4 linked regions of the Oreochromis niloticus genome follow. The protein of the gene in region 1 interacts with the protein of each later gene in a pairwise test. Links are inferred from orthologs where the notes say so. Each region holds a gene or a part of one and is shown on either strand. Other genes may lie near its edges.

The links.
Region 2: the proteins of creb3l1 (region 1) and tmem218 interact in binary tests that used the Homo sapiens proteins (3 or more experiments, as listed by UniProt). The link is inferred for Oreochromis niloticus from reciprocal best matches to the Homo sapiens genes CREB3L1 and TMEM218.
Region 3: the proteins of creb3l1 (region 1) and tspo interact in binary tests that used the Homo sapiens proteins (3 or more experiments, as listed by UniProt). The two-hybrid records come from large-scale screens. The link is inferred for Oreochromis niloticus from reciprocal best matches to the Homo sapiens genes CREB3L1 and TSPO.
Region 4: the proteins of creb3l1 (region 1) and slc35b4 interact in binary tests that used the Homo sapiens proteins (3 or more experiments, as listed by UniProt). The two-hybrid records come from large-scale screens. The link is inferred for Oreochromis niloticus from reciprocal best matches to the Homo sapiens genes CREB3L1 and SLC35B4.

Annotation. Positions count from the first base shown.
Region 1 is NC_031986.2:12,843,812-12,850,662, forward strand, and holds the start of creb3l1 (cyclic AMP-responsive element-binding protein 3-like protein 1), read right to left. Parts: upstream 3,023-6,851; 5' UTR 2,766-3,022; coding exon 2,655-2,765; intron 1-2,654.
Region 2 is NC_031975.2:4,619,062-4,626,958, reverse strand, and holds the start of tmem218 (transmembrane protein 218), read left to right. Parts: upstream 1-4,879; 5' UTR 4,880-5,215; coding exon 5,216-5,325; intron 5,326-7,395; coding exon 7,396-7,498; intron 7,499-7,897. UniProt on the Homo sapiens protein: May be involved in ciliary biogenesis or function.
Region 3 is NC_031970.2:19,775,401-19,782,770, reverse strand, and holds tspo (translocator protein), read left to right. Parts: upstream 1-4,363; 5' UTR 4,364-4,495; intron 4,496-4,537; exon of another isoform or gene 4,538-4,947; intron 4,948-6,175; 5' UTR 6,176-6,178; coding exon 6,179-6,351; intron 6,352-6,461; coding exon 6,462-6,600; intron 6,601-6,702; coding exon 6,703-6,876; 3' UTR 6,877-7,223; downstream 7,224-7,370. UniProt on the Homo sapiens protein: Can bind protoporphyrin IX and may play a role in the transport of porphyrins and heme. Promotes the transport of cholesterol across mitochondrial membranes and may play a role in lipid metabolism, but its precise physiological role is controversial.
Region 4 is NC_031972.2:48,261,875-48,269,392, forward strand, and holds the start of slc35b4 (UDP-xylose and UDP-N-acetylglucosamine transporter), read left to right. Parts: upstream 1-4,496; 5' UTR 4,497-4,598; coding exon 4,599-4,696; intron 4,697-4,734; exon of another isoform or gene 4,735-5,255; coding exon of another isoform or gene 5,256-5,294; intron 5,295-6,599; coding exon of another isoform or gene 6,600-6,681; intron 6,682-7,019; coding exon of another isoform or gene 7,020-7,198; intron 7,199-7,517; coding exon of another isoform or gene 7,518-7,518. Other genes in the region: vesicle transport protein GOT1B, read right to left, coding at 5,256-5,294, 6,600-6,681, 7,020-7,198, 7,518-7,518. UniProt on the Homo sapiens protein: Antiporter that transports nucleotide sugars across the endoplasmic reticulum (ER) membrane in exchange for another nucleotide sugar.

The sequences.
Region 1 (6,851 bases):
AGGAGAACATTTATGAGTTGCTGGCAGGTGGTAATTTGGTGCTCTCTACGCATGATCAAAGCATCTGTTCAGGTTTAACAGTAGCCAAAGGACACTCCCGTTTTACCGTGCCTCTTGTGTTTTAAAGTGATTCACGCTTAATGCTTATGTGTGTCTTAATTTTGTTTCTTGTTTCTATTTAGTAGTCATCGGACGAAGAGCTGACAAGGGTTTCTTGTACAAACACCTTATGTTTGGAAATTTGAGGAATTTGCTTGCGTCATGATCGCATTATATGAGTTCAAAATGACAAATCAATAAAACTCCACGTCTGTGCTCATATTTGGTCGCACTCTGCTCTTTGTCAGGCCCGGCAAATTCATTTCACGGGCAGTAATTTGCAGTAAATTGTCCCATTAGTAATGGCTGACAATCGATTTTTGTTTTGTCTTGCTGCCCACACCTATTTCTTTTACCCACTGGCTATTAAAAGCTATATACTGTAAAAAGGTAAATAAAAAGCAGAACAGAAAATGTTTAAACCCCTACTGGACTGGACCACAGTGCACAGCCTATTAAAAACCAAAGAGCTGAGGTATCCCAAGCAGTAAGCCTTCCAGCTTTTAACACATTGTTAAAAACTTGTTCATTGTGGTAATAAATGCCACTTAAAAAATATATATATATATAAAAACAGAGCTCTCTGCTCAACTCTGCACAAACCACAATCTCAAACAGTTCTGTACATAAACATAGAAGAATCATAATTTTTATTTTAAAAGAGGCTAAAAAGACAGCAAGTAACATGAAAGACTTGTTAACTGCAACTAAGTTGGTGGAGACTAAAATGGAGCCAAAAAGGAGTAAATATGCAATTTCCTACTATGGCTAGTAGGAAAGCAAAAAAAACAACAAAAAAAACAACAACAAAAAAAGCACATTACTGTGGGTTTAAACAAGAACTCATTTATTACAGAAAAGCAATAGAGTCATATACACCTGAAAAAAAGCTAAATAAATAAAAGGAAAAATGAACCAATGGCATGCAGAACTCTCAGCTCAGATTGCAGACTTGGGAGAGACTGAAACTTCGGTTAATCAGCCATCCTTTCCCATGTCCTCTGTGGTGCAGCCCAGGAGTGGCTTCATAGCAGAGTGGACTACTTTATTTAGAACAGTGTTGTGGGGTTTTAAACCACGAGCAGACTGCTCGGCTGACTCACCGACTAGAATAGAGGTCTGCCTAAAAAACCTGCGGTGTTCAAAAAAAGAAAAGCGGGGATGACACAAAGTGGAAAAAGAGACTGAGTGAATGAAGGGAAACAAAGACAAAAGATGCTGCTCTTAACAGAGTCTGCCCTCTGTGGTTTGCAGCAATTAAGTCCCTAAAGGGAAGGGTGCAGGAACTCTCTGGAGCACAGCGCACCTTCAGTGTACTTGGCGAGGATGAATGTGTCCCGCCATGCTCACGGGCTTTTATCGATCCTCTCATCACTATTAACTCTGACTGTGTTGTGCAGAACCAGAAACACGAGCTCGGCTGCCAGCGTTAAACAGACAATTTCCACATAACAACGATTCACTATTCATGGAGCAATTTGAACCCTTGATTCTTTATCAAATCCTTGCTTCCTGTCGCAGCACTTTTGCTACATCAAGAAATCTACTGTTGGTGCTACTGATGAACAACCATGATTCTGCACAACCACATCCTGTTGTTTGTTATAGTGACAGATGAGGTGTCTCTGCAAGGATGGGGATGTGCTCAGAGCACTGAGGGAAACAGGTGCCGTTGGACTCGCAGGTGGACGGGGGCTTAAGTCGCCATGAGTGACGATGACCAGCCCCAATCCTAACCCCAATGTTTCTGAGAAGCAAAAAATGTTTCTTTTTAAAAAAAATCAGAAAGATTCATTTTCCATCCTCTGATTGCCAAAAAATTAAATAAATAAAATAACAATACAAATAAAAAATACAGTGATAGCACAGAATTAGGGTTAGGGTTATCACTGATGACTCCACAGGGTTAAAAGGGATCTGTGAGAGATTGGAAATCTGTCTTTTTATGCAACCCTGAGATTATAAGATTATTTTGCAACAGAATGAAGCCATCAAGAGATAAATACAACAATAATTAGGTAGATTACAATAAAGGAGGGATTAGACTGTATATATAAATATATATATTAAGACTGTATTTTCTTTTTTTCTTTATAAGATGATTCAGATTTAATGAAATAAAAACACTTGAGAGTGTAGTGAAAGAGTTAGTACACTGACACACACAGTCACACAAACTAAATTAATAGTTAGGTGTGCTGGTGAATGCTGCAACATCTGCCAGCTGAACACACACACACGCAAGTTAACCAGTAACACCCCAGCCTGTGTGTGTTCCCGATCTTTCAAACACATTAGTTTACACAATTAAACACACACACACCCCTACACACGTACACACAAGGGGTTATGAGCACAGGTTACGAGCCCCGGATGTCTGTCAGGATCTAACAGCTACACCGCCCTCCTGAGGTCCGGCTCCGGGCGGAACAGGCAGTGTAGGTGCGTTTGATTTTATCGTAGATGGCAAAAAAAAAAAGAAAGAAAGAACGATAGAAAGAGAAAGAGCACTAAGAGTTTGCGTTAATAAAAATGTAATTAAAAAAAAGCCTCACCACATTAGTGAGAAAATCTCCGTCGCTGAGTTCCTCCAGGTCCAACAGGTTGGTCCCTCCGGACGGATAGAGTTTCTCCGCTGTTAAACTGTCTAAGATAGAGTCCATCATGACTGCCTGCGTCTGTCTGCACCTCACCGGACGGATGGACAGCTGTGCGTCAGACCATTAAAGTCAGACCATTAAAAAGCGGGCAGTTTGTTTTCACACGGCCTCGCACCGCCTGTGTGTGACTCCAGCTGCTGCTGCTGCTCTCTCTCACTGTCAGCGCTGACAAATGTCAAATTTTCACATCCTCCTCCAGTTGCCTGTCGCTGAGACGTCGGCGCTTCTTCCAGCTCTCTCCTCGCGTGCGCCGCCTCAGCCACTCGCCGATGAATATTCAGAGAAGCCCCGCCCACGTGACGTCCAAAAAAGAAAACGCCCACAAAACAAAGTTGTAGTCGCTTATTCGCTCATTAACAAAAAGGAAGAAAAGAAGAAGACCCATTTAGGGCTTTAGATCAGGGGTGTCAAACATAAGGTCTGGGGTCCAGGAGTGGCCCCACACAGACTCCAATCTGGCCCACTGGATGGCTGCAGAAGATGTGAAAGTTTTACTACTACATACTACACCACAGTAATTAAGTACTTATACATATATATACACATAGTTCTGTTCCTCTTCACCATCTACACTGCAGACATCTCCCACAACTCCACCCAGTGCTTCCTGCAGAAGTTCTCTGATGACTCTGCAATAGTCGGCCTCATCACTGATGGGGACGACAGGGAGTACAGAGAACTTACCCATGACTTTGTGGACTGGTGCCAGCAGAACTACCTCCAGATCAACACTAGTAAAACCAAGGAGCTGGTGGTAGACTTCCGCAGGCACAAACATCCTCCACTGCAACCACTAAACATTCAAGCTCTGGACATTGAGGCTGTGGACAGCTACAGGTACCTTGGTGTTTATCTGAACAATAAACTGGACTGGACTCATAATTCAGACGCCCTCTACAGAAAAAGGCAGAGCAGGCTGTACCTGCTGTGGAGACTCAGGTCTTTTGGAGTGAAGGGCCCACTCCTGAAGACCTTCTATGACTCTGTGGTGGCCTCAGCCATCTTTTACAGTGCAGTCTGCTGGGGCGGCAGCATCTCTGCCGGGGATAGGAAGAGACTGAACAGGCTGATCCGCAGGGCCAGCTCTGTTCTAGGATGCCCTCTGGACCCAGTGGAGGTCGTGAGTGACAGGAGAATGGTGGCTAAGCTGTCATCCCTGTTGGACAACATCTCCCACCCCATGCAGGAGACTCTGACAGCACTGAGCAGCTCCTTCAGTGGCAGACTGCGGCACCCACGGTGTGTGTCGGAGAGATTTCGCAGGTCTTTCTTCCCCACTGCTGTCAGACTCCACAACAAAGACAACTGACCAAACACACACATCCACACATGTGCAATAACACTAAGTGCAATACTCTTTTCTGGCATCGTTGTATTTTACTCAGTTGTATATAGCATTTGTATTCTATTTTATTCTATTGTATATAGTATTTTATTTTATTCTGTTCTATTGTGTACAGTTGTGTACATTATCTTATTCTTATCCTATTCCAGTGTTTTTCTAATTTTTGCTATGTAACTTTGCACTGTCCACTTTCTGCTGTAACAAACCAAATTTCCCACGTGTGGGACTAATAAAGGTTATCTTATCTTATATATATATATATATATATATATATATATATATATATATATATATATATATATATACATATATATATATATATATATATATATATATATGTATATATATATATATATATATATATATATAAATAAACCAAAAGTGATAGAAAAATTCCTGCTTTTTGACTAAATATTATCAAAATTTCTGGGGGATTTGGTTGTTTTTTATTTGTTTTGTTTTGTTTTGTTTTACAGTGGATTAACAGTGAAAATAAATAAAAACATGTAATTATGGATTTTTTTTTTGACAAAGTACAGAAACACACTAACTTATTATTTGAATTATTATTATTTTTTGTTCTGATTAAAAGTGATGCCCTGTCAGGAGTGTGTGGACTTCTACACAAGCTGATGGATGTTCTCCCTCACTTCTGCAAGTTTGGTTGCAAATCTACGTCATTCTTCTCCAGTAGAGGAGTTTGGTGACCTTATTGCTGTGCAAACCTCAACCTGAGCAGAGATCTGATCAGCTAAAGTGAAATCCTTTTCATTTTTTTTTTTGCACTAAATAGAATCTGTAATATTACCCAATTTTCATCTGAGTTATTATCCACTTATTTTAAGATCCGTGAAAGTTCTGTGAATACACGCAGCTACAGTATCAATAAACAAACAGTACACACAGTCCATGATCCACCTGCAGATATCTTTGAGCATGAAATACATGCAGAGATCCATGCCTATCCTTGAGAATGGGTATTTTTGTGGAGATGAAACTGGGAAAAAGACAAGTGACTATAAAGGCTGTTTTGACACCTCAAGATACTCCCTGCAGCTATTACACACACACACACACACACACACACACACACACACACACACACACACACACACGCACACACACACACACACAAAGTGGGAATGAAACAGATATTTCTCTTCACTCCACCATGATTGCTCAGGCTCGCCTGTCTCATTTCATCCCTCTCATTCTGTCCCAGATTGTTTCTCCTCTAAGACACAGATTGAAATACAGCATGGCAAGAGAAACCCTGTTCATCGTTTCAGAGGTGCAAACAATGTGTGTGTGCTGCAACTCCGACCTGTCCCATGATCTGGCTAGATTTTAAGTGAACTCGGCATGTCAGAAGGGCTTATCCATGAGTTTCATCACCTATTTTGTAGGATTAGTACCAGTAGTAGTAGTTGTTGTTATGGTTAGATGCCCTATGGACCGCTTGGTCATCCATGATTTAGATTCACCTAGAAATATCTCAAAACACCTTTTAGATTGGCATAACGATAAAGCCAACCAACGTTAGTGAAAGTGTTTTTGTGTGTGATGTCTCTACAGCTATTGTATGAATTGCGATGGTTGTTTTTAGGACAACCTTATAATAATGAATTTCAGTAGTCCATAAATGCATGAACTAGTTTTTACCATCACTCTGTGACAGGATGTTTCTAATTTTAGAGATATTGTCCAAATGCAAGAAAGCAGTGCTACACGTTTGTTTAATATCTGCATTGAAGGACATATCCTGGTTAAAAATGACTCCAAGATTCCCCACAGTATTACTGAGGGCCAAGGTAATGCCATCCAGAGTAAGCATCTGGTTACACACCATGGTTCTTAGACTTTTAGGCCTGAGTACAATAACCTCAGTTTTATCTGAATTTAGAAGCAGAAAATTAGAGGTCAACAAGTCTTTATGTCTTTAAGACATTCTTGCAGTTTAACTAATTGATATGAGTGTTATCTGGCTTCATGCATAGATAAAGCTGGGTATCATCTGTGAAAATGTAAACTATACCTTCTAATGTTACTGCCTAAGGGAAGCATGTATAGCGTAAATAGAATTGGGCCCGGCACAGAACCCTGTGGAATCCCATAATTAACATTAGTTTGTCATAAGTCTGTTAGAAAGATATGATTCATACTGTGGAGCAATACCTTTAATTCCTACAGCATGCTCTAATGTCTTTAATAAAATGTTATGGTCAATAGTACTGAGTGCTGTGCTGAGGTCAAGCAGGACAAGCACAGAGATGAGTCCACAGCCAGAGGCCATAAGAAGAATATTTGTAACCTTCACTAAAGCTGTTTCTGTGATGTGCTCTGAATTCTGGCTGAAACTCTTCAAACAAACCATCCCTCTTCTGACTCTCTTAAGATTTTTTGAGATTAAAGGAAATTTGGAGTTTGACCTATAATTAGCTAAGACAGCTGGGTCAAGTGATGTTTTTGTAAGTAATGGATCACTGGAATGGAATACTGACGCGTTTAAAGGCCTGTGGTATGCAGCCCATTAATTAGATAGATTGATCATATTTAAGACTGCAGCATTCGAAAATCCCATACCAATCTGAAACAAAATATGCCATTGAAACTGCAAACAAACAGAGCAGTATAATACAATACAATGTTTTTTGAGGGTACACCCCCCAGACCTCAAGTCAGATTTGGCACCTATCCACGCAGTGACTACTGCCTTATACGCATCAGCCTTTATAATTGATAGGAAG
Region 2 (7,897 bases), on another chromosome or scaffold:
GATGCGTATCAACTCGTGAGCTTGCGTATTTGTGTACGCCATCTCGATCCATTCGCAGGTAAAATCATCTACTGACAAAGGGTGATTTGAACAGTGTAAAAGGTAAAAAGGCTTCTCTTGCTCTTTTAACAGCAATTCACAGAACAACAGCAGTTTCTTCCAAAGTGTTTACTTTCACAGTGGGTGCAAATTTAGCCCCTCGTGGGATTTCATGCTCAGCATTTTGCACCTGGCGAACGTGTCTGACAAAGGGACCTAAAGTGGTCCAAATCGCCATTGTGATTTCTCAGGGAAGCAGATGATTAGTAAACAAATGGTTCAGGCATATTTAATTAAGCTAATGTACTCTTGATGTTCACACTATGGCCTTAGTTATTTGGCCCTCAGTTAGCTTTGTATAGCCAGAGCATTTTACCACTGACAGACAACAACTGTGTCAGTTATCAGTTTGAATTTTATATTAAGAAAAGCATTTCTGTTTTTAAGTCACATGTGTTTACCAAATCTGCGCCTGCACCGGGGTGCCTGTATGAAATACTGCCCAAAGGAACACAGGAGTTGGCTGAATTTGACTCAAAAAAACTACTAAGACAGAGCAAATGACCAGCAAATCTGGGCCTCTCTAGCTCAAGGATGTAAGTTAAATCATACAGGCTCACGGTGCTGAAAACTAACTGTCTCACAGACAGTGTTTTGTGCCAGTCAAACAGCTACGGTGAGCAAAACCGTCATTCAAGCAATTGTGGAATAAAGAAGTCATCTGAAATAGAAAGTGGTGAGCGGCACACAAAGAGGGCCAGTGTTCAGAGTAGGGAGGTTTATGCAGGGCTGGGTAGGCTGAGTGTAAACTTTAGAGCTCACTTCAGTCAAAAATTCATTGAGAAAATAAGAAGTCAAAAATGCCCCCATTTGATGGCAACTACATTCAATTACTACATGTAATATATATGCTTTATATATTGTTTGTTTTTTTGTTTTCTTTTACTTTGAAAAACTGCTGCTACACCAATTCCACTGAAAAGCTGGGGTACTTTTGTAAGTCATCAGCAAAAAAATTATAATTTTAAAGGTAACTATAGTTCTCTTTTTCAGTTTGAGACTGAAAAACATGCAAACATCTATTTTTTTCCTGCAAACAAAAATAAATACACACACAAAACTCACGAGCATTAAGAAAACTAATAATAAAATTCTGTGAATTACATCAAATTGCAAGTGTGCAACATGAACCCCCCCCCCCACACACACACACACACACACACTTACACCTCGCCTAACTCGCTCAGTCAAAATAAAAGCATTTTTAACAGCGCAACAACGAAACTTCAACATCAAGAAAATTGCATTACATTACAACACAACACGCGTTTTGCACGTTACAGACACGCCGTAAAATGAAGTGTTAATTTGCGATTAATTAGAATGGGATGAAGCGTTCCGAAGCTTTTGACAAAGAAATCAAAGCAAACAGAACGCCAGCTTCCTGTGCGCTTTACTGCTTTTATTCACTTTAAACTATTACATTTGCACTAAAACATCCGCTTTATACATTAAAAAATCGGAGATAACCGCATCACAAACATTACCGCGACAATTTCAAAAATCCAAATGCCGCATCAAGCAAAGGAAAAAAAATCCACTGGTCTTTGAGTCCAGCACAAAAATGCTTCTCCTCTCCTTTCCCTCTCTCTTTTTTCACCCCCTCCTCTAGGCCCCCTCCCTTCCCTCAGTTTCTCGCTCTCTCTCTTTTTTTTCTTTCTCCCTCCCTCACTCTGTCTCTCTTTCCCTCCCTATCTCTCTCTCCCTCACTCTGGCCTGGCTGGCTGTCTGACTGTATGAATAATGTCCTGCCTTTTGTAATGAAGGGGGGGAAAAGGGGAAAAAGGACGCTGGAGTGCTGAAGCCCTGCTCCCATGCACTGACATTGAAAATGAATGACAGCTTACCTGCATGCCAATCTTCATCAGACTGACACTGGGCTGACAGCACAGCCTATACTCCTCCACACAGTCGCTGACGTCAGTCATGTCAGGCCCCTCCCACCTCCATCTTCATCTCCGCTCCCCGTTTTCCCAACACCGGGCTGCTGATGCCTTCCAGTGTCCATGGGAAATACGGCAATCAGGTGTAGGGCTCCAAACACACGAAACATCAAAGAAGAGCGCATTGACATTTGCGGTCGAGTTGCAATGGTGCAAAACGTTTAGAACAATCACAGTAACAACAACAGCAAACAACAGCTCATTTGAATAAAAAATCTAAAGAATTTAGTTGCTTTTGAATCAAGAGAATCAGTCTTGACCAGCTTAGAACACATAAATGTGAACATTTAAATGACATTTTGAAATGATTTAATATATGAACGCATTCAGTGAGCTCGGGCGGACTCTGTTATAAACCTGAAAAGTAAAGTGACCTACATCTGTTCAGCCATCCTCTTTGCTTTCAGTCTTTATACAAACATAATGTGACAGCCTTTGTCAGGAAAGTGTGTCCAGTTACAGGCAAGCTTGAACCTTTTTAATATAAGAAACCTAATTCACTGCGTGTTGATTTCCTGCTGTTCTAATCCCTACAGCTGTGGGCAGCTGCTTCAATGTTAAACATCTCAGTTGTAGTCACCACAGCACCACATATCCTCGATCTTTTTGTTATATCCTCACTTGTTCAGGTTTACCACTGATTAAAGTTCTTTGTTCAAACAGAAAAGACCTGAGTTTAGACCTGAGTTTAGACCTTCTTTATCGGAAATGCTCAAGCACCCCTGAATTTAAAAATAGAACCCCTAAAAAATGTTCTGTCATCATTGTCTAATTTTGCATTTATATTCCCACCTGGTCTACTGGACACAGTGCAGGTTATAACAAGCACGGATTTAGATGTCCAGTGTTCTTAATGTCATGATGTCACAGTGCACTCATACATGCTTCAACATCAACAGTGTGGATTTTTATTAATAGGTAAGATTTTTGTTATTGTGACAGAAAGAAGATGAAGAGGTCATTCCACAACACCACTCACTTGTGAAGATTGAAAACGCACATTACCTAAATATGTAAACATGCAAGGAAAAGTGTAAATTGTCCTGATAAAACAGGGTCATTATGTTATGTATACTTGCTGTCTAAATACCATCAAAAATGTTAACATAGGCTAGATTGTTAGAGTCTGTTAGCTATTTTTTTAGCTTTCTGAGCCTTGGGTCTGCTGGTATATATATATATGTGCTTTATCAATTTCCTATTTCTGTTCTGGTGAAACCGTGGTTCAGTGTTTGTTTACAGTAAGACTATCTAAGAGTGAATATGTAGTGAAAGCCAACAAAAGTTACAAAGCCATGGTAGCTTCTGCTTTGCTCATATTCATTAATAATGATTTCACATTCTAAATAGAACATATTAATTGATACAAACTGAATAGGATTCCCATCGCTAAACATGGCTTGAACAGGATGGATACCATTACAAATCTATTCTCCACTCTTGGATCAGGGGGCCTGATATCCTGCGTTGATCCTGCAGAATAAATGAAGGGTTTGCATGAATTTGGAAACTTTAGTGTAAAATCAACTCTACCAACTCCAGGTGTATGGGGTGGAAGAGTGATGTTTTTTTTAATGTTTTAATGTTTTAATTTTAATTGCAATTTAATTGAAGTAAACTGAACTGCCTGTACGTGGTTAAGAGACTGAAAAAAGAGAGTGACAAAAGGCTGTTCATATCTGCTTTGTTACAAATAGTTCTTTAACGTACCGTGGTAATTTCTGGTCAACAACTGAACACAACTGAGTCTTTGCCTTCAGTTTGCCTGCTATAACACTGGTGTTTCATATGGAAAACTGTGATTATTCATTCCAACTAACTGGGTTGATTTAAAGGTAACATTGTAATGTGCATTCCTTTGAACTGAGGGTTGTAAAGGTGAAAAGGACAGCAGCACATGTTTACAAGCAGAATATTCCGTTAATATTAATTGCAAGGAAGTCTGTGCATGTCATTATGATAGGTGGCTGAGCCCCCTTCAAGGTCTAATCCCAGAATCGCCCCTTCCTGGACACTTTGATACAAAATTGAAAGTGAGACGTTTGTGTGCGCTTTAATCTGTTTGACTGCAGTGAAAGTATAGAAAAGATCAAATCGCCCGATGGAAAGTCATGCAGGCACAGGCAAAACACGAAGAACGGTTTAAACTGCTCTAAAAAAAATGTAAATATCTAATAAGGTAACATATTCATAATTTCTTCTCGTAAACAGCAAAAGGGACCGCGGCATGGAACGCGCGCACTCGCGCGCTAGAATGCAGATGCCTTTGAATCGCGGACCTGGCTAGCCCCCTGTTGGTCACCATAAATATTACCCATAATAAATCTTAGCTTGGACTGCACGTGAGAGATTCAGTCACTACTATTAATACACTTTGTAGATCAAGGAGGAGAAAATTGTTATGAATAAAAACAGGAGTGGAAAATATGCCGGGCTACTTTGTGAACACGTCTGATAATCCCTTGGAATGAATGTGTTTTGTGTAAGACTGAATAATACTAATACTGTTTTGGGCTTACTCTGGGGATACCTTCAGATAAGTATTTATACAAGACTTTATGAGTGTTTCAAACACTGCTGGTTCATAAACTTTAAGGAAATCTACCTCAGTGAGCCGAACCTAACATAAGGCGCTGAAACATCCCCTGGCTATAATGCAAGGACCTGGCTGTAAAATGAGACCCTTCCTCGGAATAAATGGGGTAAAGTTCGACATTCGCATAAGAAGGCTCTGCTTCTTCTTCTCTGGTGTTGTGTGGCAGCTTCACAGTGGGGCTTGACGCTTAAGTAACGACGCATTTGATTGGTTAGTCGTCTGGCTCATTTATCCAGTTACATAACAGTTTGTTGTTACCAGGAAGCAGATGACGCCATAGAGAAAGCTTAACCGAAACTCGGCTCGTTTTTATATGAGAAATGGAGCCTTAGCTGGCAACATTAGTTCGCAACTGTGTCGGCCTGATATTTTAAAGCCGTCGGTCTCAGCATAGAAGCGCTAGTAGGGACAGCGAACTTACTTGTAAAGCAGTGCGTCGACTACTGTTAGCTGCGGCAGCTGTCGGTAGTTAGATACCGCACAGCGTCGTTAAGTGTACCATTAGCATTTTTCATAAATACAAAGGGTTGGGCGTTTGGGTGTGATGAGTTAGCTCCCTTAAAAACGTTGCTTTAAAATGGCAAATACTGTCCTTGAAGTCGGTACTGGCGTTTTCGTTATTGTGGCGGTCTGGATTGTGGCTCTTGTGTTTGGGATTTTGCTGCTGAGAGCGTCAGGGTCCGCTACGTGAGTGACATAACAGCACACACACAGGCTTAACTCAGATGGAATATATTAATATTTATAACGAGAAGCCTGGATAACATAGAGTTTATCTCAATGGGCGCCGCATTTCCTTTAAATTTGCGCCATTTGTCTCATAGGTGGGCTAGGGTCCACCTAGGAGATAACACGTTGTAACCACTGCATTAGTGAGGCTTCCTTGTAAATTCGACATACTCTTGCATCACACAGTAACCACAGTGTAATCCCAAAAAATGTCTTTCCACTGCTCCCTTTAGGGACCTGCAGCGGGTTATCTGGCTCATTTTCACCCTTTCCCTAGCATCCTCCTCTGTCCTTCAGTCCTCTTCACTACATCCATGAAGCCTCACTAATGCTTTTTTTTCTCCTGCCTGACAGCTCCACCTGAAATATCCTTTGTCCAGTGTATCCACTGTCCCTCCTCTGTACATGTCCCAACATTCTCAGGCTTGCCTTTCTAACTTTGTCCATCCTGGTCACTCCTAACAAGAACCTCAGCATCTTCAACTCTTTCACCTTCTGTTCTGCCTCCTGTCATTTTGTTAGCACTGGTGTCTTTACAGCCAGATGTATGTGATGTACAGCAAGTCTCACTTCCATCTTGGAAACATTCCCTTTCAATCTTGCTGCTATCCTTCTGTCACAAATCACTGCTGAAACTTGTATCCACTCAGTCCATCCTTCTTGCTCTTGTTTCTTCACCTCTTTGTGTACTGACCTTTTATTTGGATAGTAGACACCAGGTGTTTAAACTCATTTGCTTTTACTACCTGGACTCCTTACACCTTGCTTCTACTCTCTAGAGCACACCTCCACCCCTCCAGGCTCTTTTCCACCTGTTCCCTACTCTCACTTCAGATTACAATGTCTTCTATAAACATCATAGTCCACAGAAACCCCTGCCTGACCTCATCTGTCAGCTTGTCCAACACCAATGCAAACAAGAAGGGGCTCAGACCTTGAACCCATCTGTAATACCTATAATACCTGTAATACATGTCCTGCACCACCCTCACATACCTCTCTGTCACTCTTGACGTCCTCATGCAGTACCACAGTTCCTCTCTTGGAACCATATTATATACTTTCTATAAATCTAAAAAACACACGGTGCAACTCCTTCTGATTATCTCTATACATTTAGTCCCCCCCTTCAGTGAAGCAGCTCATCCTTCATGACTACTCCTACTTCAATATACTCTCGGCCTTGCATTCCTTCCACCTGGTCTCTTGCACACACAATATATCTACCTTATGTCTCTCTATTCTGTTAGCCACTTTACCAGTCATTGTCCCCAAATTTATAGTTCCTAGAGTCATTTCCAGATTTCTGTCTTTCCTTTTTCTGCCTCCTAAGTGCCCTATTATACCTGCTTTTTGGTCCCTGGAGAAAGGCACTGTATGATAAAGTTGACTTAATGCATTAATGCCAGTATTAGTTCACTGACTCGCAGCCACGCCCCATCCCCGTCAGCTGGGTTAAAATTACAAAAATTATAATGTCTCAAATATCATTAAGGGCTGGAGCTGGGTGTTTGAGAGGAGGCGAGGGACAGAGGAGGTGTTAAGTGCTCAAAAACAATCTAATTAACACCAAGGGAAGGGATTTTTGCACAGTCACCATGAGACATGCTGAGACATTGTTTTGCTTTATAGGCTACTCAGTGAGACCAGCAAAAATCCACTTTTCCATCAGAGTTTTAACAAAACACACGCTGCTTCACTGGTTGAGTGCTGCAGCGATACACCTTGCACTCCCTGCTGATTAACATTTGTGTATTTACTCAACATTGGACCATTATGCCACTAAAGTCAGTAAAATTTGAACTCCTGTAACACCAAACACTGTGCAATTACAGTAAAGTTTAAATGTGTGAAACATGGTGCTGTTTACTTGATTGGAAAGTTAACAACTTTTGAAAACCACAATAAAGGCTGCCATTGTTTAGATTGGTATTGGTTATGATGACATTAGCCTCAGGTAACCCTGCATGTCTTACAGATCATTAACTCAGTAGTGGAGACCTCATCCTCAATCCTCTGTCTTCTCAGGTTAGGAGTTCTTCCTGTTTTCTTCTTGGCTCTGACAATCACTTTGGTGCTGGTGTTTTTCCCCCGCAGCCCAGAGACACCTCTGCCTTTCAAAGATATAGAGGTGAGCTTAATTCACTAATCACAGACACGTTAACATGTGCACAAATGTAAAACAGTGTGTCGGTGTCTGTATCTTTGTTTATTGGATAAGTCAACTCAACTTCAAGTCTCATGTGCCGTCTGGAATAATAATTAGTATGATTTTACTCATATTTTGTTCACTAGTTTTTACTGTATATCTGCTGCAAAATCGATGTCAGGAAAATACAGAACACGATACCATTTATTGAAAATGTATTCATTAAAACAAAAACATATTTGGTGTTATTATATAACCTAGTTAGGGATGCATTGATTTACCAGTCACAGATCAGTACAGCAGTTATCCGCCATACTGACCAATATTCATCTCAGTGGCTTTCCGTGAGGTGAATATTGCTGATTTTCACCAATAATATTT
Region 3 (7,370 bases), on another chromosome or scaffold:
TCTGTATGTATCTGCAATGTAGAAAGTTGGAAAAATAAAGAAAAACCATTAAATGAGAAGGTGTCCAAACTTTTGACTGATAGTATGTATGTGTGTGTGTTTGTGGGGGGTTTTTCTTTCTCCCCTCCTCCATAAAAAAAAACATTCTTAACCTATCCTGCCGACTAAGCATCTGTTTTACTCTCTAAATTTGCTGTTATTTTAAGGAATAATTCAACAACAACAAAAATGTTTTAAAAAATCTATTCGAATAGTTACAACTTTCATGCAGCTGGTTGTAGTTGCTTATAAAACTGGGTAACCACTGCTCTCTGTTCAAAGATGACAAAATCCACTTATCAGCATCTCTGAAGTAGTTTTCTGAAGGTCTTTCAAAGTTTTTTGGGGGGTTTTGTCTGCTTTTTCACTCATTTGCAGTCCAGTCCTTTTACCTGACCACTTTAATAATAATGGTAACAATAATAATCATAACTTTGATTTGTATTGCACTTTTTAAAAACACACAGTAACAAAGTGATTGACAGTTTGAATAAAACCACACATTAACAATAAATATAGATGTTACGTTTCTGTATAGAATACAGAAAGTCAAACATTTATTCATGCATTAGATCGAACTGTGGCCACAAGTAATTAGACAACGTTTCTTCTTTGTCTTATCTGTGCCAAATTACACAAGAACTTGGCTCTGTGACCTCAGTAAATACTTTTCAGATGACTGTATTGGCTCAGTCACCAGTTTCAACTCATTTTGCATGAATGGGGAGTGAGAGTCAGAATTTAGGAGTATTCAGGACACTCACTGACTACTGACTTTTCAGTCAAGCTATCTATATCATAAGCCATGGAAAAACAGATTTTTCAAAAATAATTACTTTACATGTTTACACATCTACAACTTACAGCACAAAATCTCACATCTGCTTTGCTCGCAGGAAACTACATGCCAATTTCTGAAATTTATTAATAATCAAACTCACTCAAATGCTGAAATAAACATACCCAGGGGTGTACAACTCATGATTTCTGCTCATTAACTGAACTATAAGTTCCCTTTTCATAAAATCAGATTTATGTGAATCTTCTTACCCAAAGAAGTCTGAGTCATTTTAACAGTGCAACTTTTTAAAGACACAGTGTGCTAAACTGGGCTGTAAATACCAGAGAATGAAGCTTTGAGCCACGAGCCAAACATGAAATAAACAATTATACTGTAGTTTTAAGTTACTACTGCATATACTTTGTCTAGAAAACACTGTTTATAAATGCAGTTACAGTGTATGTACAGTTGGGTTGTGTCTTGAAGATGGTGTGTGCAGTGATGCAGTTAAAGCCCAGTTTAAGTCATCATTGGTATGATTATGATGTGTGCTGTTTTCATTTAAAGAAATTCAGTCATTCTCTTTAAGTACAACCCCAATTTCAGAGAAGCTGGAATATCTGTATTTATAAATGACACACTAAGGAGGAGTAATTATAATATGCCAATGATATGCTAATTTGCTAATACCTTACTTTACTAATGCTTAATAGTGTGACATTATTATGAAGTGCTACCTAGTCCAGTAAGGCCTTTAGGGGTTTTATTTCTTCTTCTATACCCAAATTCTGGTGATAGTCTCCCAGATTGTGGTAATATGGGATTACCACTGGTTGCAGAATCTTATCTTGATATCTCTGCATCAAGATTGCCTCCAATAATGGCACGCCTTGTTTTTCAGTGAAGGAGATATGTCCTAACACCATCACTCTGCCTCCATCAAAAGCTGCTACCTTATCGTTGGAGCAACCAGCATAGTGTTTTTTGCATCTTCTTCACACTTTGACCATACAATCCAGCTGCCATAGGCAGAATCTGGACTCATCATTGAACATAACGTTCCTCTACTTGTTTAGGTTCTACTGCACATGTTGCAAGACCAATGCAAACAGGCCTGATGATGAAGGGCAGTCATGACAGGCCTCCTGGCAGCCCTTTGAGAATGGCGATTGGCTGTGTGCAGTTCACTCCAAATAATGCAGCAACTTGGTTTTGCAACTTCAAGTTGCCCTATGGCACAGGCCCTATGCAGGTCAGTCAGACATGGCGTGCTTGAAGCAGATGCCAACTGACCGATGTAGCACATATTCAAATCTGCTGCTCAACCCACAAATATAATTATTTACAAATAAATAAACTCCTTACATTTGAAACCATTTAAGGGGAAATAAACAGGCTTTCCAAAAGTATAGAATTTATTGCCAAGAACCATTGTTACAACAAAGAAATAATCAACCAAACAAAAATGTACTTATTTTTTTTAATTTGATGGCAGCAACATGTCCCAAAAAAGTTGACAAAGGGGTAATAAGGGCCTGAAAAGTAAGTGTTTCTAAAAAGATACAGCTGGAGGAACATTTTACAAATAATTAGTTTAATTGGCAACAGTTTAGTAATATGAAACAAGCATCTCAGAGATTCAGAGCTTCTTAGTCAATTGCAAAGGGTTTAAATAGCTCATCCCTCTCCCTTTGGGAGAGGCTTTAACTTCCTCTCCCAAAAGTCCAGCAGCTGGTTTCCTCTGTTCCCAGATGTTTACAGTCTGTTGTCACTACAGTGTAAACATGGCCCAGTCCCAAATTTTTTCAGACGTGTTGCTACCATCAGATGCAAAATGACCTTATTTTGTCTTAGAATTGTACATTTTCTCAGTTTAAAAATGTTTTGTGTTTTCTATGTTCTATTGTGAAAAAGAAATGGATTTATGAAGTTTTCAAATCATTGCATTCTGTTTACATTTTCCACAGCCTCCCAGCTTGTCTGAAATTGGAGTAGTTAAAGAGAATGACTGAGTTTCTTTAAATTAAATAGCAAACATCACAATCATACTAACGATCACATAAATAGGACTTTCAATATAGAGGCAGTTTTACACCTTCCACTATAAAGTAGAAGAATACTCAATCACTGCACACTCCACCCTCAAGACTATTTGACACAAACCAACAAGTTAACTGTGCATATGTTGTAACTGTGTTTAACAGTGTTTTTGACTGACAAAGTATGTGCAGATGCAAGTGTGTCCGGGAAAAGTGAGGAAACAAGTGAAAATGTAAAATGAGCAGCATCTGAATAATATTGGAGGCTGCAAAGCTGAATGCAGAATTTATAAAATTAGAAGCTGGATAAAGTGATACCCATGTTTATTTTCAGCAGTTTTCCATTGTGAAGGAGAAAAGGTTTCAAACTTGTCCAGGCCTTAAACCTCATGTGTGTTCTTCCATACTAGCAAAGCCATGAAAATAAGGCCTTTATGAAAACACTGAATACAAATTTGCTTCCTTGAAAAAGACTAAAGTTACAGTTCAGTATTGAATATTACATAAAATAAACTATATATAAAGAGTCTTGGAATAGCAGAAATGCAGAAATGTCTGCGTGTAGCACAGAGCCATGTGTCAGTGTCTGGGTGTTTGAATGAGTCTCACAGGCCTGAATGTGCACTTGAAGCCATTTATAATCCTAAATTTTTTGATCTGCTGCTCACCACAAACAAGCATAAGTAGAAATGTTGGACTTTTAACTGTATTTACACAAGTTTTACAGCTTTTCATTCTGTTTTCTACAGTCATTGCTTCAAACATAAAGAGGAAGTTCTCTGCACTCTCTCAGAAATCTGCTCATGCAACTGGATCTCAACACTGGCATCTGTTTCCTTACCTGACACGTGAGGTTTGAAGACAGACAAGTAGTGTTGCAAGAACTGCACAGATGAAGACATAACTGTACTCGGCTACTCAACATTATTGTGATGTGAACACAGAGGCCTGGGAGAGGTATTTCCTCAACTTCAATCTTGTTATGTCTCATGCATACTCCACCAGTAAGTATTAGAAATATAAATATAATATATAAAAAAAATAATATATAAAAAAAGGGTAATAAAATTAATAGAAATAAGTTTCCATAGTTCATAAAGCAGGGATGTAAAACTCATTTTACACTGTGGGCCACATCCAGCTCACTTTGATCTTATATGGGCAGGATTGGTGAAACTCCAATTTCTGTCAGTGTAAAATAGTTTAACTACATAATTAATCTCTACAAAATCTTAACATAAAACAAAGAAGCACAATTTTAACGGTATTTTTCGTTTTTTCTACATTACAAAGAAATTCTGTCATAGTAAATGAAACAAGTCTGTCAGCACGACTGGGCTTAAATTGTAAATAAAGTAAATGATTAAATTACAGAAATCTATAATTGATTACTTCAGTGCAATGTGAATTGCCATGGGGCGGAACACAAGGAAAAACAGTAAAATGTCTCAAATGTATGTCCTTCACATTTTCCAAAGCCATTCAGTGGGATGGATTGGATCCTGGCTGATTCTAGCCCCCGGGCCGTATGTTTGACATCCCTGCTGTAGGGAAAACATGACATTTTAAGTGGTCTAAAACAAGCTGTTGGAACAGGAAAGGAAAGCATTGTAACGCCTGCCATTCGACACGGAGGGTAACTATCTTGACGTTTTTGTCATCTTTGCTGTCACATAACAGGCTCCGTGCGCTTCCTCGGCCAAAAGGACACGAGACAACAAACAAAGCATTGAGCGAATACGTTTTTCGCGGTTTTTTTTTTTTAACATTTGTGTCACCGTGGCCTTATGCAACACATTTATTTAGCTAATAACCGGTTTTTCGACCGTTAAACAACTCCTGATGTTATCCTCGTGACCAGTCGTTGGTAACTACGCTGCGACGTGACATTGTTTGGCTCAGTAGCGCAAGTAGCACTCGTTATCCAGGGAGTGTCAGGGGAGTGTTTCTGACTGCTCCGATAAGGTGGCCCTGCCCACTCGACAAACAATATCACGGCTTAACAGTGTGCTTAAAGATTTGGCTGTATGTTGTAGATTCAGTCCTCGATACGACAGTCATACTTTACGCTGCTGCCCACTGAGTGAGGTAAGAAGTTAAGCTATGTCTGCTCGTGACCTGACATCAACATTAGCTTTAACGCAACTTTGCGCCGCCAAACCTTGACCTAGAGTCACTCAAGTGCAGCGTGACCTCAGAAAGTCAGCGCACGTAATGTTTGGGAGCACGAACACGTAAAAGAAAAATTAATTAGCGTTAAGTTAGCATGTTTCACTGCTGCGCTAGAACAACAGCAAAACGTGCTTAAATGTATAGTAAAAGTCATGTGTTTTTGTAACGTTGCTGTAAGAAAGAAAATGAAAGCGACAGAGTCATGCGGGTATTGTTCTTTTCCTGCTTATTAAAATAAAAAGGTTTGGGGATTATGTCAAGGGAAAGGAATGCGTTTACTTGTATATTTAAGCTTGAGTACATACATTTTTAATGCTTAAATGTCCTGTTAAAAATAGCAGTAAAGGTAACAGACTATTAACCTTAACTGTATGAAGGGAAATCTTGTTTACATCTATAGATACCCCCATAAGACCTGTTATTTCTGGCCAGCAAGTACTCTGTAACAGTGCACAAAGCCATTTCTATGCAATGATAAGTGATTAAAAACTGGAATGCTACTTAAAAATAGCCCACAGCTTGTATTTCTGAGGCTAATGAGTGCAAAGAGGTCGATCAGTGTGAATATGGACTATGTTTGGTTAACTCTCAGGGGTGTAATTAAGTTGAAATGGTTCAGCCTTGTAATGTTAGTTGATAGTTGCTTTGGCTAAGGATTTAAAATGGTCTTTACAGCAGTGATACTTTGATTTAACGTCTGTTGTGTAATGATGTATTGACTCTTAAATAAGTAGCATGTCTTTAATGTGTTGAAGCCATTCTGGTTGGTTATGAAGTATAAGCTTTTATTTATGTGGTGCAAGTGTCTATTATTGTGCTGAACTGTAACAGGGCTGGCCATTTGGTCTGCACAAATCGAATCTGATGCCATGCTTCAGTTAGTTATTAAATTTAATTTTTAACAGAGAAATTGACATATGCCTAATGCCTACCTTGAAATTTAAAAAACTGTTAAAAAAAAAAAAGTCTAAAACTAAAATGATCAAGGATGTGCGCATAACAAAATCCTCACTTTTTCTGTTACTGCAAATCCTGTTTAGTCAGTCATGGGACAGCAGATGCATTAGGCAGAAAAATTTGATACTTATACCTATGAATATCCACCCTTAGCGGAAGTTAAATGGCTGTCTTTTTCTTATCTCAGAAAATGTGGCTGCAAATAGCTGGGTTCACTGCCCTGCCACACCTGGGAGGGCTCTACGGTGTTTATATCACACGCAAAGAGGTAAATACCTGGTACCCAACCCTGAAGAAACCATCGTGGCGCCCACCAAACAAAGCATTCCCCGTAGTGTGGACGTGTCTGTACACAGGCATGGGGTAAGCACATTGTGACTGATTTCTGCATTATCTGTGAAGCAACCTCCTTATCTTAATGATCTCGTGTGATTTTTTTTTTGTTGTTGTTTTTTTTTGTCTTTCTCTTCCAGCTATGGTTCATACCTGGTGTGGAAGGAGCTTGGAGGTTTCACTGAGGATGCACTAGTTCCACTCGGGCTTTATGGGACACAGCTAGCTCTGAATTGGGCCTGGACTCCCATTTTCTTTGGTGCACACAAGCTGAAATGGGTAAATTTAAATTTGGACACCAATAATTAGGGGTGTGGTAAGTGTGGCAGTGTAGTTGTATACATCGCTGTCACTGACATGCCCTCTGTCTGTTCTTTTTAGTCCCTCATTGAGATTGTGCTTCTCACTGGGACTGTTGGAGCCACCATGATGTCCTGGTATCCCATCAGCCGCACCGCCACGATGCTCTTGGCGCCCTATCTGGGCTGGCTGTGCCTTGCAACTAGCCTCAACTACTGCATATGGAGAGACAACCCAGAGGAAAAAGAAGAGTAGGGATCATGACTGTGTGTTTTGAAGAGCATACTTATATTCTGAATCACGTACACAATGTTATTAAAAAAAAAAAAAAAATACTAATAAAAAAAACAGGTCAGTCTCACTTTTTAACTTCTGACTTTATTATCCAGCTGCTTTGTTATGACCTTGTTGGCTGGTCACAGACTTACTAATACTTGCGTATATGTTGCCCAAAATAAAAAGAAGAAAAATAAATAAAGATGTCATTTCTAAATAGTGGTATCCCCTTTAACATCTGCAGTACTTTAGATCTGAGCAGGCATTATGTTATCTGCTTAGATACTGTATAACAGCCTGCTTCTAATAAATTTATTTTGTTCCTTAAAAAAAAATCCCTTAAGAATTTCAGTGCATTGTCAGAAATGTCATTACTAATAGGAAAAACTGTAATATGATCAGAATATCTGATTACATTGAAAATAGTTAAGTCACCCCATCATGTGGAGTTTTGGTTGTTCAGTTTAAAACAA
Region 4 (7,518 bases), on another chromosome or scaffold:
TTTATGTGATTACACTACTTGAGCTCCATCATGTATTCACACACCTGAGTGAAAAGTGTTTTCTTCCTCTCTTCTGCCACGTTCCAAAAATGAGCGGCGTCCCTCTGCAAAAGATCAGCACACGATATCGTTTTGATCTGATAGACATCTGAAATCTGGGTGACTGTTTGCTGCGGTCAGTGCGTTCTTACGTGCTCCTTTCAGGTATAGGATGGCCTGAGAAGTCCAGTTTCTCCTCTGAAAATGGAAAAGAAAATTCTGTTCCAGCTCAGGCTGATCAGGTTTAAACGTGACAAAAGACAAATCCTGACTAACCTGTGGAGCAGTCCAACACTGAGAAACCAGCGACAGCAAAAGCAACGTGACTAGTAGAGACATTGTTGAACTCTGCAACAGAACAAGAGGGGGAAAAATAAACTGCGTCTTTTTCTGAGAAGTTTAATTACAGTCATCCAGCACAGGTCTATTTCTCTGTGTTTAGATGTAAACTCACTGTAAACAAATTTTAAAGCACCTCATCAGCACCTAGATGCCAGTAATTTACGGTAAAAAGTTTGCAGTAACTTTACAGTAAATTTACTGTAAATGAAATTACAGCCACTAATGTCAAGTAAATTTACAGTTGGACACCAGTAAGTTGCGGTTTGTGTACATTTTACAGTTAAATTTTTTTAACTGTATTTATATTAACAGTATTTGTAGCATATTTTCATTAATAGTGTTTTATTTTACAATAATTTGTAGCATTCTTACTTTATGTTACATGTTATTAATGTAACACACTATAATAAATCTCTGTAAGCAGGTTTAAGCAATTGCCCGTGTATTTTTAGCAAGTAAATTTCTCCTTTACACATAATTGTGAGCTGTTGTATTATACTAATACCTCACTATACTATACTAATACTGAATGACAATAGTTACATGTTTTCTGTCTGTGCTTTATTAGCTTCATGATTTATTGCGCTGCATTGTGTTATAAACGGATTTAATTTTGCTCATAAATAGTAAAAGGTAGACTTAGAAAGTAAAAGTTTAATTTACCTCATTTTTTCACATTTAAGAAAATTAAAATGTATGTATATATATTTATATATATACATATACATATATATATATATATACATATACATATATATATATATATACATATACATATACATATATATATACATATACATATACATATATATATACATATACATATACATATATATATACATATACATATACATATATATATATACATATACATATATATATATATACATATACATATATATATATATATATATATATATATATGTCTCTAAGAAGAAGAATATCTTACCTCTTACTTTAAGCGTTGTGCTCTCCTGCAGGTTGCAGCTGGTTTAAATGTTTGATTAATGTTTCCCTGTCAGTGCAGTCACATCGTTTGTAAGAAAAAACCAACTGATGACGCTGACAGGTGTCTTAATCACCTCACACCTACTTCTTCAGCTGACGGTGCTGTTAAAGATGTCGCTGCACATTAATCGCAGACGCATGAGAGACACTCAAACTTTTAAGTCTCGCGAGCAGCAGAGTATCTTCACAGGGTCACTGCAGGACGACGACGCCGGTGAGATTTTATGAATGAAGTTGATGATGATGATGAGCAGTGATGAGGTGGCAGGTGCAGACGCCTACGGGAGGCCTGAGGCTGAGAATAACACAATTCTAGTCCTTCAAGGAACCTGTGTAATCTGTAAATCTATTTTATTGCCTACAACCGATTTGTCCATATCCATGACTTCAATAGGTCTTCTCCCAAATTGTGGTCATCATTGTGTGGAGCACTACTTGTTCATAGGGGGCGGAGTCATGTGATCGTTGGAGTGTCTTGCTAATATTGCAGGGTCTTTGTCTCTGAAATATAAAGCCTTGGGGTGACTGTTGTTTTGAACTGCAGCTTTGTAATAAAACTAAAGTGAATGGTGGTCTTTGCTAAAATAAGACCAGCACTGTATTAATGTGAACCATGGATGAACTTAAGTCTTCGCCGTGGCTTAAGTGCATTGGTCCTTCAGCCAGATGAGCTAAAAATATATGCATACTAATACGTTTTAACCTCTCAAACATTTTTTAAGAGACATTTAGGCCTTTACTATCACAACCTTCACTGGCAATTAATGTATTTATTTCAAAGGCAAATATAAGTGTAGTTAAATTAAATGCATTTGTTCTAATAAGGGCTTTAGCAAAAATATTTAAGTAAACCCTCATTAGATTTTCTTCCACTTTTATTATGAATGCAGTGCATTTGCTTGAAGATGATGGATTTGAGAATGTGGGTTTGACATGAGGAGCAGGAGCCTGGATCAGCTGAAAGCATGAAGGAAATCGAACATGAGGACCTTGAATTTATTTGTTATTTTTGTTTCAACTGTTTTAGAAATTTCACACATACATAAATCTCTGTGTTTATGACCTGTACACACTGTGTATAAACAGTGAGATTAGTTTTGAATTATAAATCTCTGATATGTGAATGCTTAAAGGGAACGTATTATCATTTCACAGTGGTTGACGTTGTCATATTAAACTTGATTAACATTTGCTCATATAAAGCTGGCTTAAGACTGTCACATCAGAGTAAACACCGGTTTGATGACCAACCTTTCCATCAGAAGTTGACCGTACAGCATCCTCAGCCTCTGAGTGACCACTTTGAATCACAAAGTGACCGCACAGGTCGCCTGTTGGGAGGCGACCTGTCTGCAGACAATCGCGGGCCACTCGACCACTGCAATCACTCTCAGGCAGATTGGTGAATATTTACAATGCCGACCAATTAAAACCAACACACTGCAATCGAAATAAGTCAGTCTGTCACGGTCTGAGCTGGCAGACCGTGGGGAGATGGGGAAATAGGACCCAAACGCCGGACTCTTCAATGCGACAGTGTTTATTTACAAAGGTGGTGAAGTAAACAACAATAAATCCCCTAGTGTCCCTGACTCCCGTGTAGTGTCTTCTTTCCCAAAAAGTCCCCGTGTAGTGCTCTCTGCTCCAGTGTCTCGAGCACTCCTCGTGCTCACTGCTCTCTCTCATTCCACATTCCTCCTGAGGGAAAACAATAGAGGCAGCCATTAACACACTATATCCTAGCAGGCATACACTCACACTTCCTACGAGCTAGAAGACTGACGTGTAGTCAAACGCAATAATCCCGCGTCGGTGGAAGCTCCATCACTCCTCTAAATAGTTCCACCGACGAGCCCTGATGAGGAGCAGGTGTGTGGCAAGGGCTTCGGGTGTGGCCAATCCTCGAGCTAGGCCACGCCCCTCAGGCCTGAAGATGCCTGTAACTTGGCCACAGAAACAGCAACACACAAACACACACACAAACCTGCCTACATACAGATGAGGACAGATCAGAGGCAGTGCAGACAACACACAATAATAATAATAATAATAATAATAATAGTAATAATGGTCCACACTGTTCACGGACCCCGAGTCCCCGGAACCGGGTCCGTGACACAGTCTGTGCCAATTAGCGCAACTCATCTGCAACACGCCTCTTTGTAACAGGACTCAACTGGTTTCCAGCTGCTTATATAGTTAAATCCCTGTCCTGTAGCAACGCCGTCACTTTTTTTGGATGAATTTGTTCAAATCAATGGGTTTTCAGCTGGACTCTGAATCTAAATAGTTTAAATTAACTTCTGTTTATATACATGGCAACAAATTTGGAAATTTATGCTAGTAAATCTTATATATATTATGGAGTATAACCACCGTATTATCACAAACAGATTGCATGTGGATGCCAACTTGAGCACACTCAATCGTACACTGATAGCAGACTGAATCCATTTAATGCTGTTGTATTGCCACCTTTGAATCCAGCAACTGACTACAAGTGGTTGCAGTCCTGGTCCCTGCCTCTGAAGCAACCAAGACAATGAGATTGGTTTACTGCACACGATCATACAGTCTCCAGCCGCCTTCTTCCTTTGTGACCGAAGCATTAAAGCAGGGGTGCCAAACTCCAGTCCTCAAGGGCCGGTGTCCTGAAACTTTTAAATATGTCTTGATGCATTCTCAATCAGATTGGGGAAACCTGCAGTCAGCTGAGACTGAAGAAGTCACTTGGATGATTGACGAAACGTTTCTCCCGTTGAAAATGCTACGACCAGATGAACAGAATCAACCTTTGGAGTTTTATATTTGTCCCTGCTGCAACAACCTGAATAAAATTAGTAGGTCATCAGCAAGACTTGACTCCATGCTCAGGTGGCAACACCTAACCGTACTCAAGTTTAAATAAATGTAAGTAAATATAAGTTTTTTGAAAAAAAAAGAAAGAAGTACTTTTATTGTACCATGTTCATTTACTCATGAGCTGCTGTAACATGAATCAAATGGATGAATTGCCACCTCAGCATGCGGTCAAGTTCTATAAAGTCTAATGACCTACTGATTTTATTCAGGTGTGCTGCAGCAGTGACACATGGAAACGTTTCAGGACACCGGCCCTCGAGGACTGAAGTTCGACACCTGTGCATTAAAGGGTAAAATAGCTTGTTTCAGAGAACGTGTGCATTAGAGGAGCTTCACCAAGGCCCAGTATGGGTGAACCATGTAAAGTTCTTCTAGTAGAGTCCATGAATAGAAGATGGAGCTGGGCTTCTTTTAGCAAATCATACTGTTATTACCCAAAACGCAGGTAAGATCTGGGACATCTAAATTACTTATACTACAAACAAAATTTATAAAACGCACACTTTATTTCAAGCGCTTAGAAAAGTTACAGTTAAACATTTCCATCCAGGACAATATAAACTGTTTTTACATTTCTGCCACATTTAGCTCAACCGCACATTTTAAGTATAAAATTCCACTAACTCTTCATGGAGGAAAAAAAAAAAAAAAAAAAGGCCCTCAGTGTCTGTTCAGGCACACAGATGCTGTCACTGTCCTCCAAATTAATCCAGTGGTCCCAGATTATCAGTCCATAAATATCAGAGTGGAATGACATAAAAGAGAAACTGCTTTCAGCCTTAAAAAAAAAAAAAAAAAAAAAGGATCTCTTGGTAATGTTATCCAGTAGCAGTCAGATAGAAACAGTTTCCCTCTAATAGAATTAAATGTACAGTCAGTCAGACATCCACAGATGCGTGGGTCTTTTGTGCAGAGTAATGTTTGGATTCACAGCTCTGGAATGGCAATGGTCAAAATATACAGTCACCATGAGACGGTAAGAAACGCTGAAACTGTCCTCTTCGTTATACCATCGTGTTGCTCTCACCAATTTTGTCCACCAGCTGAAATAAAACAAGAAAAAGGGCAGAATTATTTATGAGTTGTTATGCGAAGGATGATTTAAAATAACAGGAATAAAGCAGAACATGTAAGGATGATGATGTTGATAATGCAGTGAGGTTTTTATATTGGTAAACAGCTGTAAAATATTAGCGACCACGGCAGAATTAACTGATCCTGGATGCTGACGGTTTCCAAGAAGCTACAAAAGGCTTCACAGACAAGAGACTGAGTGGGGAATCCCATGAGATCGTGCTCAGGACAACAGGGACCCTGTTATTAGACTAGATGAGAGAGAGACCAGCCGCGATCTCATCTAAAAAAATCTTCCTCAGCTTTTGGAGCCATTTCACTCTAAAAAAATCTTTAAAGCCCACATAGATCAACAAAGTAATATCAGCTTCTTTAAAAACTTTCAGCTGCTTTTTGCCGTAAATGCCATTTGTATCATCTGAAAGTACTGGAAAAAGTTCATGTTTAGCTTAGAGAACTAATCTCCAAATATTTTGATAATCAATTCTTTGCACTTAACATTATTCAAATACGAATAAAGAAAACAAATCCCTGGTTCCAGCTTCTCAAATGCAAGACTTTAAATGGTGTATTTTAGTCATATATGATGGTAAACTGAATTTTATTTAGCACAAATGAAACAAAATAGTTTCGTATTCATATAATTATACTTGCATGATATTTTGGCCAACAGGCTGCAAATACCGGATTTTTCCATGTCTGCCAAAGACTGTATTTAAAAGATGGAGGAGGCCACTGTGACATCACCCTTTGATTAGCAAAATTCTGCTTCCAGGCCTTGAGCTTAAATAGATGCAAGGTGCGGATCAGACCATGAATCTGAGTGACTCGGCCACAATGTAGGTGGCGTACCCTGCTATTTCAACTCCAGCTGGAATCTTATGTACACAGTTGACATCATGTTGTATTTAATGAAACCTGAAAGTAGCAACTGAGACCGTAACCTAAGCAAGAGAGCCAGAAGCCATTTTCTCATCCACTTCTATAGAATCTGACTTCTTACTGCAACCAGAGAGGCTTGCATAAAAGAAAACTACAACAGCACTCAGAGAGCACCTTCTCCACCATGACCAACTTTTATTATTACTGGATCAAAGATTAGTGGATCCTTCCTCTGAACATGCTCCACCTCTCCACCAAGTTTCATCAAATTCAGACAGTGTTTATTTACTGTTAGTCTTGCAGACAAATGTCATTGAAAGCCTTATAACGCTAAACAATATTTGTGATTAGTGACCCTTATCAAGGTTAAAGTGCCCAAGAGTGACACTTACCGAACTGATCCCCGGTAAGCTGAGCAAAGACCCGAGCACGGGCACTCGTCTGATGAATCCGACTGCCACTGGGAAGAATCCCCTGTTAACGAGTGCAAGAATAAAGTGAGACTTGTAAATTGATACAAATGAGTGTTGAAGGGCTCAGATGTTTTGGACATGTGCAGTGGAGAGATAGTGGATATACTGGACAAAAGATGTTGAATATGGAGCTGCCAGGCAGGAGGAAAGAAGGAAGACGGCAGAGGAGGTTCATTGATATAGTGAAGGAGGACATGCAGAGGGATTGGGGTGACAGACAAAGGATGTTAGGTATAGGGTGAGATTCAGGTAAATGATCCACCGTGGCAACCCCTAATAGGGAGCAGCCAAAAGAGAAAGAAGAGGAAAAGGAGGTGAGCCCTTTCTGACTGAGCTGACCTGAATAAGAGGAAGAAACCGTAGATCTCCAGAACGACCCCAACAATCGGCCAGCCAAGCAGAACCACCAGCACTCCTCCCAAGAAGAAGCTGGTGGCTTTTAGTTTGTGCCTCTGGAAGAAAAACCTGAAGGTACGCTCGAGGCCGATGACGAACGACAGTCCGGAGACAAACAGAATCTGCACAGGAAACAACATGTCATAAGCCCAACATCTTTTAGGTTATATAGGGTTGACTTTCACACTGGTATAATTACTAGGTAGGCACTGATTATATAGTTCTGTGCTCACAGCAATTTTTAAACTAATAATTTACCTGATATAAACATTCATTTTTTAACATCGGTTTCCTTTTTACTGCCCTCTTCTAGAGCAGCAAGGAATAGATCAACTTCCACTCACATCAGCAAATGTGATCGTATGGACCAACAGCCAAACGGCAATCAACAATAAAGGTATTACTCTGATATATCAATAAACCCAAAAGCCATCAACTCACA